3 linked regions of the Stegostoma tigrinum genome follow. The protein of the gene in region 2 purifies or fractionates together with the protein of the main gene of each other region. This does not show direct contact. Links are inferred from orthologs where the notes say so. Each region holds a gene or a part of one and is shown on either strand. Other genes may lie near its edges. The genes, in order: anapc13, anapc4 and anapc11.

Region 1 (3,749 bases), on a different chromosome or scaffold from region 2:
AGCAGGGGTGTGATCTGGGCATGTCGCTCAATATCTAAATTTTCAAACTCATCACAAAAAATATTATCTAGATGTAACAGTGATGCTACTTGTGGGAGCTTGCTCTGTACAAATAGGGAGGTGGTGGCCTCGTAGTGTTGTCAATGAAATAGGAATTCAGAACCCAAAACGAATATCACACGACAATATTCTGGGGACGTACATGTTGACGTCACTATGGCAGTGAAATCTGAATTCAATTAAAATCTGGAATAGAGAGCTACCGTAACAGTAAGTGGATAACCACCACTCAATAACTCACCGGGTTCACTGCGGTCCTTTAAGGAAGGAAATCTATATCCTTACCTGATCTGTCCTAGATATGACTCCAGATGAACAGCAATGCGGTTGATTCTTAACTGCTTTCTAAGTAGTTAGGAATGGGCAATAAATATAGACCTAAGCAAATTCCACATCCTACAAAAGAATAAAAATAATTACATCAATATGCAGCAAAACTTCTGGCTGCGAAACAAGTTGTAAAATCATGAGGTTGTGAAGACTACTAAATGAATGCAAGAATTTTGTTTGGATTGACTGACATAAAATTTGCTGTTGTAATTTGCCTTTTAAAAAATTGTGACGTACATACTGAAAATCAGTTTGCTCAATGGGATAGTTAGGACGTGCTGACAGCTAATTCAATTAACAATATGTGGCAGATACATTACCAGACAAAATCTAAGCTAAACAGCCCATCGAGTCTATATTATTTTACTAGCGCCTCTCCGTTTACAGAGAGAAAAACAGAGTTTAAGCTTTAAGACCTACATTCCCTTCAGAACAATATTAACTGTTTTCCTCTCTCCAGATGCTCCCAAACCCAAGTTTCTTCAGCACTTTGTTGATATCCCTTGATTTTTCTAAGTGTTTTCTAAGTGTTTCCTTCAAATGATTTTGCATCTTTGGCCTTTGCAACATATTCATTTAAGCTGGACTTGAAGATTATGTTGCTTTGTTTCAATTTTCCCCAAGAAGTTTCTCCATTTAACATTGTACATCTTGGGAGTAAAATCTTTCAATTTCATTTTCAGATAACATAATTATACCAAATCTTCTCATAGCTCAATTCCTTAATCGTGGATGAATTTTTACTTTCATCACATTTGGACATCACCAAAGCTAGTATTTGTTGATCTTCCCTAAGAAGTCCTTCTCAAAAGACTAGCACAATCTTCTCAACAGATTCAGCATGAACTGTACTAAGTCAACCTTTTCGGTTTCCATTAGGCTTTGTTATCCTACATGCCAAGCATTTAATCAAATACCTCAGGTCGCTTGGGTTAATAAAAATCTGGTCACTCGCACATATACTGTTTGTGGGTGCTTCCTGTGTATACAGTACATCAATGGCGACTTCAGAATTTCTTCATTGGCTGAGGATCTGTATGGACATTAAACATGTTATAGAAATGTAAGTCTGTATGTCTTTGCTCTGATCTCCTGACTCCGCTTGAAACTTCAAACGTGCCACCTCACACATCCATTGGGTTAAAACAAGTAAATGAACCCAGCTGTGTGCCGTTCTGAGGAAGGAACATCGGGATAGAAACATTAACTCTGTTTCTCTCTTCACAGACCCCGTCCCGTCCCTCCCCCCACCGGCGCTGCCCCCCCCCCCAACCGTCCCACCCCGACCCTCCCAACCTGTCCCGCCCCACCACCCTGTTCCGACCTGCCCTCCCACCCTGTCCTGCTCCGCCCCTCCCCACCGTTCATTCCCGCCTCACCCCCGCCACGTCCGTCCCACTCCTTCTGCCCGTCCCTACCCTCCCCACCGCCCTGCCCCTCCTCCCTCCCCAACCCCCGCCACGCCCTGCCCCATCCCTCCACACCCCACCCCTCCCACCACTACCCTCCCCTCCGCGCCGTCGTGCCCCTTCTGCTCCAACCCCCACTCTTCGTCCCACCCCACCCCCACACTCACCCCGCCCGCATCCCCCTGCCCACACCCCATCCCCCCGCCCGTACGCCCCCCCAACAGCCCCCGCCCCCCGTCTCCCCCTCCCCCCGCCCCCCCCTCCTCGCCCCGCCCCGCCCCCGTCTCACCCTCGCCCCGCCCCCCGTCTCACCCTCGCCCCGCCCCCCTCGCCCCGCCCCCCGTCTCACCCTCGCCCCGCCCCCCTCACCCCGCCCCCCGTCTCACCCTCGCCCCGCCCCCCGTCTCCCCGCCCCCCGTCTCCCCCTCGCCCCGCCCCCGTCTCCCCCTCGCCCCGCCCCCCTCCCGCCGATATACCGTCCGGGACTCTCCCTCACCCCCAACAATCCCGATGAACGGTCCGGCCTCTCCCTGCCTCCCGGTCCCCCCCGATGAACGGTCCGGCCTCTCCCTGCCTCCCGGTCCCCCACGATGAACGGTCCGGCCTCTCCCTGCCTCCCGGTCCCCCACGATGAACGGTCCGGCCTCTCCCTTCCTCCCGGTCCCCCCCGATGAACGGTCCGCCCTCTCCCTGCCTCCCGGTCCCCCCCGATGAATGGTCCGGCCTCTCCCTGCCTCTCGGTCCCCCCAGATGAACGGTCCGGCCACAATCAGTAAATAATTGGAGTGAAGTGTTTGATTTCCGATGGAAGCTCACAGACTTTCAGGCGATAACAGAGTGTGGAGCTGGAGAAGCACAACAGGCTAGGCGGCGTCAGAGGAGCAGGAAAGTTGACATTTCGGGTCGGGGTCCTTCTTCCGAAAAAGGCTCCGGGCAGTGATTTTGCTTCTCTCCGCGCCGCGAGGTTGTTGCGGCCGTTTCCGAGTGAACAGCACTTTCCTTTCAGTTTTATTTTGTGCCTGTTCAGTTTTCCAGCCTGTCTCGCCCCCCCTCTCACTGACAAACTCCATGCTCGCCTCCTCAGCCGTGAGGTTTGTTTTCGTCGTTTTCTTTCCTGAGCCGACAAATAACGGAAAGGCCTGAGCCATCCCCTTTAAGTCGGGTGGCCCTTTCCCTTTAAGCGGTTGCCTAGTGACGGAGGCGGGAGGCCCAGGGTCGGTGAGTGGATTGCAGCGGGGTAGGGGACGGCAGCATTCACAGACTTCAAACAGCACAGTTAAAGTGAAATATCCCTGTGAAATGAACATTTGAATTGTAATATTGAAGAGTGTAGAGCTGGGAAGTGTGGCTGGAGTAGATTTAGTGTAGTTCTGGTCGGACAGACTTGGTTGGCTGAATGACCTTTCCTGTGTTTTATGTTTCTGTAAAATGTGGGCACCAGGGGCATGGCCAGCATTTGTTGATCACCTTTGCCTTTTTAAAAAAAACTTGAATGGTATTTCAGAGGGCAGTTACGAGTCTACCAGATTTTTGAGGGTGAGGGCGGCATATGTCCTTTCGTCAGAAACTTTGGTAGACGGATTTTTAATCAGCAAGGGAATCGAGGAAAATGGAGTTAAGGAACATCAGACAAGCTGCGATCCCATTGAGTGGTGGAGCAGACTTGAGGGCCGAATGGCCTACTTCTGCTCCTGCGTATAATGGTCTTACTGTCTTAAAAATCCATCTGGTTCACCAGTGGTAATTCCTGACACTAACCTTCAGTTCCAGATTGTGAAACTCCAGATTGTTAAATTCCAGTTCTTTTGGTATTAACATTTTTGATTTTTTTTAAAAGTAGTAATCTTAACAAACAAGGACTGGCTGAACGTTTTCGTCAAGGCGACTTGGAAAGACTTAGAATTCAAGCAACAAAGGACAGATTTCCACTTAACAGCACCTTTTACAAAT
Region 2 (3,749 bases):
AAACTTACTAACCCATCCACCTATCTCTGCGTCCAAGTCATTTATAAAAATGACAAACAGCAGTGCTCCCAAAACAGATCCTTGAGGCACACCACTAGTAACCGGACTCCAGACTGAATATTTTCCATCAACCACCACTCGTTGCCTTCTTACAGAAAGCCAGTTTCTAATCCAAACTGCTAAATCTCCCTCAATCCCATGCCTCCGCATTTTCTCCAATTGCCTACCAGGTGGAACCTTATCAAAGGCTTTACTGAAGTCCATGTACACCACGTCAACTGCCCTAACCTCATCCACAAGCTTGGTTACCTTCTCAAAAAACTCTGAGGTTTGTGAGACACGACTTTCCCTTGATGAATCCATGTTGATTACCTCCAATGAAATTGTTGCTTGCTAGATGATCATAAATCCTGTCTCTTATAATCCTTTCCAAAACTTTTCCTACAACAGGCCTAAGGCTCACTGGTCTTTAACTACCTGGGTCATCTCTACTGCCCTTTTTGAACAAGGGCACAACATTTGCAATCCTCCAGTCCTCTGGTACTAAACCTGTAGACAATGACGACTCAAAGATCAAGGCCAAAGGCTCCGCCATCTCCTCCCTGGCGTCCCAGAGAATCCTCGGAAAAATCCCATCCAGCCCAGGGGATTTATCTACCTTCACACCTAGAATTGATAACACCTCGTCCTTACCAACCTCAATCCTTTCAAGTCTAATAGCCCATAACTTGGTCTTCTCCTCTACAATATTCTCCTTTTCCTGAGTGAAAACAGATGAGAAATATTCATTTAGCACCTCTCCGATCTCCACAGGGTCCACACACAACTTCCCACTTCTGTCTTTGACTGGCCCTATTCCTATCCAAGTCATCCTCTTATTCCTCACATACCTATAGAAAGCTTTAGGGTTCTCCTTTATTCTACCTGCTAATGTCTGCACTTCTTAACTCTCTCTTTAAATCCTTTCTAGCTAATCTGTAACACTCCATCGCCTCATCTGAACCATCTCGTCTCAACGTCACAAAAGCCTCCCTCTTCCACTTAGCAAGAGATACAATTTCTTTAATAAACCACGGTTCCCTTACCTTATCGCTTCCTCCCTGCCTGACAGGGACATACCTATCAAGGACACGCAATATCTGTTCCTTAAACCAGCTCCACATTTTGATTGTCCCCATCCCCTGCATTTTGCTACCCCATTCTATGCCTCCTAAACCTTGCCTAATCACATTATAACTACCCTTCCCACATCTATAACTTTTGTGGCATGCTCCTATCCCTTTCTATTGCCAAACTAAACGTGACCAAATTATGGTCACTCTCTCCAAAGTGATCACCTACCACTAAATCAAACACCTGGCCTGGTTCATTACCAAGTAACAGATCCAGTGTGGCTTCCCCTCGTCGACCCTTCAACATACTGTGTCAGGAAACCCTCCAGTGTAACTTTAGAAAATATTAACGGTCTACTGTGCCACCGATTTTGGTGTTACCCACAAACTGACTAAACATGCTTTCTATTATCTCATTCAAATTGTTTATGTAATTGACAAACAAAACAGGACCCAGAACCAATCCCTGTGGGACAGCACAGGCCACGGGCTTTCAATCCGAAAAGCAACCTACATCATTACTCTCTGAGTCTTGCCATTAAGTTAATTATGTATCAACTGGCAAGCTCCTCCCCAAATCCCACATGACCTAACTTTACTAATTAGTCTACCAAGTGGAACTTTGTCAAAGGCTTTACTACAATCCAAATAAAAGTCTACTACTCCGCCATCAATCTCTTTGACACAATAAAAAACTAAATGAAGTTTGAAGCATGATTTACCTCACAAAACCACACTGACTATCCCTAATCAATTTCTGCTTCTCTAAATTTGCATGAATCATACCTTTTATAATCACCACCAACAATTCACCTACAACTGGAGTCAGACTCACAGGCCTATAGTTCCCCAGTTTCTCCAGTACAATCGTTCTCAAACACAAGGTACAACATTAGCCATGCTCCAGTTATGAAGCACCTCAACCCGTAATTACAGATGATGCAAATTCTTTCAGTTTTTATTAAGTCCTGCCCTGATTTGATTTTCTAAAACACACCACTTTTATATGAATTAAACTCCATCTGCTACTCCTTAGCCCATTGGCCCATCTGATCAAGAGCCTATTGAACTCTGTCCACGACATCTTTAATTTTGGTGTCATCTGCAAACTTACTAACCATACCTCCTCCTACATTCATGTCCAAATCATTTACATAAATGTCAAAAAGCAGAGGACCCAGCACTGACCCTTGTGGCATCTGAACAGCAACCCTCCAACACCACCTATTTTCTACCTTGGAGCCAGTTCCATATCCAAATGGCTAGTTCTCCCTGTAGTCTGTGTGATCTTAAGGTAACAAGGTGTAGAGCTGGATGAACACAGCAGGCCACGCAGCATCAGAGAAGCAGGAAAGCTGACGTTTCAGGGTCTGGACCCTTCTTCCTCTGATACTATTTGGCCTGCCGTGTTCATCCAGCTCTATACCTTGTTGGCTCAGATTCTCCAACATCGGCAGTTCCTACCGTCTGAGAGATCTAACCATGTTTACCAGTCTTCCATGAGGAAACTTGTCAGGTGCTTTTAGCACACATAATGAAGATATTTCTTCAGTTGTGTGGCTACTAACAAGGCCAGTTGCATCTTAAACAAGAAGTGACCACCCCAGATGGGCGGGAGAACCTCAGCCCCGGGACTGGAAACACCGCATGTTACCTTCAGCCCGTTTACACCAAAAGCGACAGCCACCGCCAGTCGGGTTCAAACCCACAGCCTGCATGCGTAATAGACCACTGGGGTGGTATCGCGAGAGTACACTGTGCCCGTTTGGTCACGTCAGTACAGGCGGTAGCGCGCTACGGTTACTGTGCGCGCGATTCCGTGGGCGGTTGCTAATGCGATGACGCTGGGTAAGCGCTAAATTAGAAAAAAAAGTTGCAAATGACTTGCAGCTTGACTTCTTTTAACTCTGAATTTTGTTATCTTTTAAATTTTTTTTATTTGTACACATGAGCGAAATAATACGTGTAAAGAGGGCATGGATAAACACATCCTTGGATTTTGCAGGGAAATTTGAGAAATCCGTTTTAATTTTTTTTAAATAGCTGATGGGATAATTGACTTAATTATTAGAGGGAGAACACACAAAATAAAGGAATTTATAATACATGTCTGTACAACACTTATGTCTATATAGCCCTCACTTAGAGTACTGGGTTCAGCTCTAGTCGGTACATTTGAGGAAAGTCAAGGCCATGGAAAAAGTGCTGAAAAGATTTATCAGAATAGTTCCAGGGATAGGGAACTATGCTGGAAGACTGGAGAAGCGAAAGCTGCATTCCTGAGAGGGAGATTTTAAGGACAACTTTGACAGAAGCATTGGCCAGAATATCTTCACTTCCCCAGGACTTACTTTGGCACGGGAGCAGGTAATTTCACTACTTTTCCATCTCTTCCCCAGTTAAATCATTGGGCAGATCAGTGGATGGTGTTCTTGCACTGCTGTTAATGGAGAATCTTAAATGTCCTATTAATGTCCATTTAAAGACCCCCAACTTGCTGCCACTGGTGTTAACCGTACAAGGTTGTTTACAGACTTTTGGGAACGGTGGGTCACTAATTCAAAAAGATAAATTGTGGGATCCTACATTTAGGAAGGGTGAGCTCCGTGAGGGCCATTTCCTATCCTCTTGCTTCTT
Region 3 (3,749 bases), on a different chromosome or scaffold from region 2:
TTACGCCACCCTTGTCTTTAGCTGTCCAGGTCCCAAGGTCTGAAATGCCCTCCAGAAACATCAGTCTCTCTCCCTCTCTAGGATGCCCCTTAAAATCTATCTTTTTGACCAAGGTTTTTTGCCATCTGATCTAATAGCTCTTCGTGACTCAATGTTACATCTTTTTTCATAGTCTCTGAAGAGCCTCAAAACTTCCTCTTGTTGCTGTAGTTGTATCAATTGCAACCCATGGGATGTGGATACACCTAGATATCTTTAGAAAGTGTGTTCCAACAGTGAAGGAAAACACCATCACAATTTCATGTCAGCATAAGGGTATCCCTATGTTCTTGCTGTTCTGGTTCTTCAGAGAAATGGAGTTTGCAAAGATTATGGTGCAGCAGCTAATACACTCAGTAAAAGGAATACAGTTTGATGCACAGTACCACTTCAATATGCATGAGAAATGATTAAAGGGCAAGTCAGTCTAATGAAACTTACTTCTTTTACATTTTGTAAACGGCCATTTCTAAGCCAGATTACAGTTCCATCCCATTTGAAATAATTATTATAGCGGAAAGAAGAAATTATTGACCAGAAAGCACCTTCAGAGTGGTTCCTACTTCATGTAGCAACAGAATGAACTTTAAGAGGAAAAGAACAAATGTGAAATACAGCACAGGAACAGGCCATTCACTCCTCCAAGGCTGTGCCAATCATCATGCCCTGACTAAACCAAAAAACAAACCTTCTGCCCTTATTTGGTCCATATCTCTCTATTCCCCCCCCATTCATGTAGCCATCCAGATGCCTCTTAAATGTTGCCAATGTGCCTGCTTCCACCATCTCCTCTGACTGCATTTCACACTCCTACCACTCTCTGCATGAAAAAAAAACTTTCCTCACATATCTCCCTTAAACTCCTGCTCTCTCACCTTGAACCCGTGCCCCCTAGTAATTGAAAGTTCAACTCAGGAAAAAGCCTTTTTGACTATCCACCCTATCTATGCCTCTTGTAATTTTATAGACCTCTTGTCTTCTCAGCTGCAGTCTTTCCAGTGAAAACAATCCTAGTCTTTTTGACCTTTCCTCATAGCCAATGCGCTCCAGACTGGGCAACATCCTGGTGAACCTCCTCTGCAATTTCTCCAAAGCTTCCACATCCTTTTGTAAATGTGGCAACCAAAACAGCACACAATACTCCAAATGCGGCCTAACAAAGGTTTTATATAGCTGCAACATGTTGTGCCAACTCTTGTACTCTATGCCTCAGCTGAGGAACGCAAGCATGCCATATGCCTTCTTTGTCAGAGATGGCAACACCATCTGCCATTTCTGCGCCCAAGTTGCCAATCTATCTATATCCTGTTGTACGTTTAACAACTATCAACAATTGCACTAATCTTTGTGTCATCTGCAAATTTATTAATCAAACCACACACATTTTCCTCCAGCTCGTTTATATATACACAACAAACAACAGAGGACCTAAGACTGATCCCTGTGGAACACGAGTTACTGGTCTCCATTCTGAAAAACACCCTTCCACCATTACCCTCTGTCTTCTATGATCAAGCCAGTTTTATTTCCATCTAGCAGCCCACCCTGAATCCCATATAATTTTAGTTTTTGTACCAATCTGCCATGAGGGACTTTATTAAATGCCTTACCAAAGTCCATATAAACTACATTCACAGCTTTTTGTTCAATTATCTGTGTCATCCCTTCAAAAAATTCGGTCAGGTTGGTGAGATATAACCTTCCGTGTACAAAACCATGCTGTTTGTTGCTAACTAGTCCATTTTCTTCCAAGTGTGCATGCATCCTGTCCCTCTACCTTCTCCAAGAGCTTTCCCACCAGAAACGTCACTCACCGGCTTAATGTTGGAAATGAATTTAGGTTAGCTTGTGTTTAACTATATCCACATCATTTAAACTTTATCTTCCCAAAAATGTAAATAGGATTTGAGGGATGGGGTTTGGGGCATTGGAGGATCTGGGGGGTTTGGGGCATTGGAGGATCTGGGGGGTCGGGGCATCTCCAGTCACCCATTTTGGAGGCTTGGTCCACCCTCTACCCCATACTCTCCCACTCCTACCCATGTCTCCCGTATTCTTTCTCCCTTTCTCTTTCCCTCCGGTCCCCATTCTCTCTCTCTTCCGTACTTTCCCTCCCTCTTTTCCTTTCCCATCCCCTTACTCACAGTCCGGGCAGCAGCCGTTAAACGCCGTGCGGCAAATACCACAATTCTCGTCGTTAGCCACCCAGAACCAGGTAGCGATGGCGTTCCAGCGCTTCACCTTGACCCGCATGACGGGCGGTTCGACAGCCCGGGGCAAGGGAGAAATCTCCGGATCCTGTTCGCAATCACACTCCATTCATCATGTCTGGGCAGGCCTCCGCAACAAAGCGCTGAACTGAACACATTCTTTCGAAACACATTTCTTCTTCCCGCCACAGGGGCCAAAACAAAATACTAAAACGGGCGTCAACAGTACAACATTGAAGTTTCAGAGATCGGATATTTTTTTCCTCCAACATCGATGATGTTTCTGCGTTTGATTCCCCGCGTCGGGACCTCCGTTTCAGGCGCTCTGATTGGCCGTTCACTTTGGCGCCTCTGATTGGCGGGTTCCACAGAAGGGAGGGAGGCTTGTTTCTCCTGTATATTGGGAGAAGAGCTGATCCATTGAGAAAGAGCTCTGGGAGGAATTAGGTCCACAGAGTCATAAAGATCTATTAGCACAGAAAAAAAGGCCCTCTGGTCTTTCACGTCTACACCGGTCAAAAACAACCACCTTAAGTAATCTAATCCCATTTTCCAGCACTTGCCTTGTATGCCAACTATACATCTAAACATCATCAGAGGAGCAGGAAAGCTGACCTTTCAGGCGTAGACCCTTCATTAGAATTGGGGAAGGGGGTTCTGAAATAAATAGGGACAAGGGGGAGGCTGATAGAAGATGGATAGAGAAGATAGGTGCAGAGGAAACAGACAAGTTAAAGAAGCGGGGATGGAGCCAGTAGAGGTGAGTGTAGGTGGGGAGGTAGGGAGGGGATGGGTCAATCCGGGGAGGATGGACAGGTCAAGGGGGTGGAATGAGGGGATAGGTGAGAGGAAGAACAGGTTAGGGAGGCGGGGATAAGCTGGGCTGGTTTTGGCTCCATCCCCGCCTCTTTGACTTGTCTGCCTTCTCTCCACCTATCCATCTTCGATCTGCCTCCCCTTCTCTATTTATTTCAGAACCCCCCTTCCCCTCCCCCATTTCTGATGAAGGGTGTAGGGCTGAAACGTAAGCTTTCCTGCTGCTAAAATGCTGCTTGGCCTGCTGTGTTCATCCAGCTCCACACTTTGTCATGATAATAAAATGTGAGGCTGGATGAACACAGCAGGCCAAGCAGCATCTCAGGAGCACAAAAGCTGACGTTTCGGGCCTAGACCCTTCATCAGAGAGGGGGATGGGGGGAGGGAACTGGAATAAATAGGGAGAGAGGGGGAGGCGGACCGAAGATGGAGAGTAAAGAAGATAGGTGGAGAGGGTGTGGGTGGGGAGGTAGGGAGGGGATAGGTCAGTCCAGGGAAGACGGACAGGTCAAGGAGGTGGGATGAGGTTAGTAGGTAGCTGGGGGTGCGGCTTGGGGTGGGAGGAAGGGATGGGTGAGAGGAAGAACCGGTTAGGGAGGCAGAGACAGGTTGGACTGGTTTTGGGATGCAGTGGGTGGGGGGGAAGAGCTGGGCTGGTTGTGTGGTGCAGTGGGGGGAGGGGAT

Evidence for each region.
Region 1: the proteins of anapc4 (region 2) and anapc13 purify together in Homo sapiens (affinity purification with mass spectrometry; 9 studies listed by BioGRID and IntAct, counting the BioPlex papers as one, with this or other methods). This does not show direct contact. The link is inferred for Stegostoma tigrinum from reciprocal best matches to the Homo sapiens genes ANAPC4 and ANAPC13.
Region 3: the proteins of anapc4 (region 2) and anapc11 purify together in Homo sapiens (affinity purification with mass spectrometry; 8 studies listed by BioGRID and IntAct, with this or other methods). This does not show direct contact. The link is inferred for Stegostoma tigrinum from reciprocal best matches to the Homo sapiens genes ANAPC4 and ANAPC11.

The regions. Positions count from the first base shown.
Region 1 is NC_081385.1:20,041,935-20,045,683, forward strand, and holds the start of anapc13 (anaphase-promoting complex subunit 13), read right to left. Parts: upstream 2,431-3,749; 5' UTR 2,296-2,430; exon of another isoform or gene 2,287-2,295; intron 1,424-2,286; 5' UTR 1,308-1,423; intron 457-1,307; 5' UTR 346-456; intron 1-345. UniProt on the Homo sapiens protein: Component of the anaphase promoting complex/cyclosome (APC/C), a cell cycle-regulated E3 ubiquitin ligase that controls progression through mitosis and the G1 phase of the cell cycle.
Region 2 is NC_081354.1:88,970,609-88,974,357, forward strand, and holds the start of anapc4 (anaphase-promoting complex subunit 4), read right to left. Parts: upstream 2,902-3,749; 5' UTR 2,767-2,901; intron 1-2,766. UniProt on the Homo sapiens protein: Component of the anaphase promoting complex/cyclosome (APC/C), a cell cycle-regulated E3 ubiquitin ligase that controls progression through mitosis and the G1 phase of the cell cycle.
Region 3 is NC_081375.1:22,114,221-22,117,969, reverse strand, and holds the start of anapc11 (anaphase-promoting complex subunit 11), read right to left. Parts: upstream 2,570-3,749; 5' UTR 2,359-2,569; coding exon 2,184-2,358; intron 1-2,183. UniProt on the Homo sapiens protein: Together with the cullin protein ANAPC2, constitutes the catalytic component of the anaphase promoting complex/cyclosome (APC/C), a cell cycle-regulated E3 ubiquitin ligase that controls progression through mitosis and the G1 phase of the cell cycle.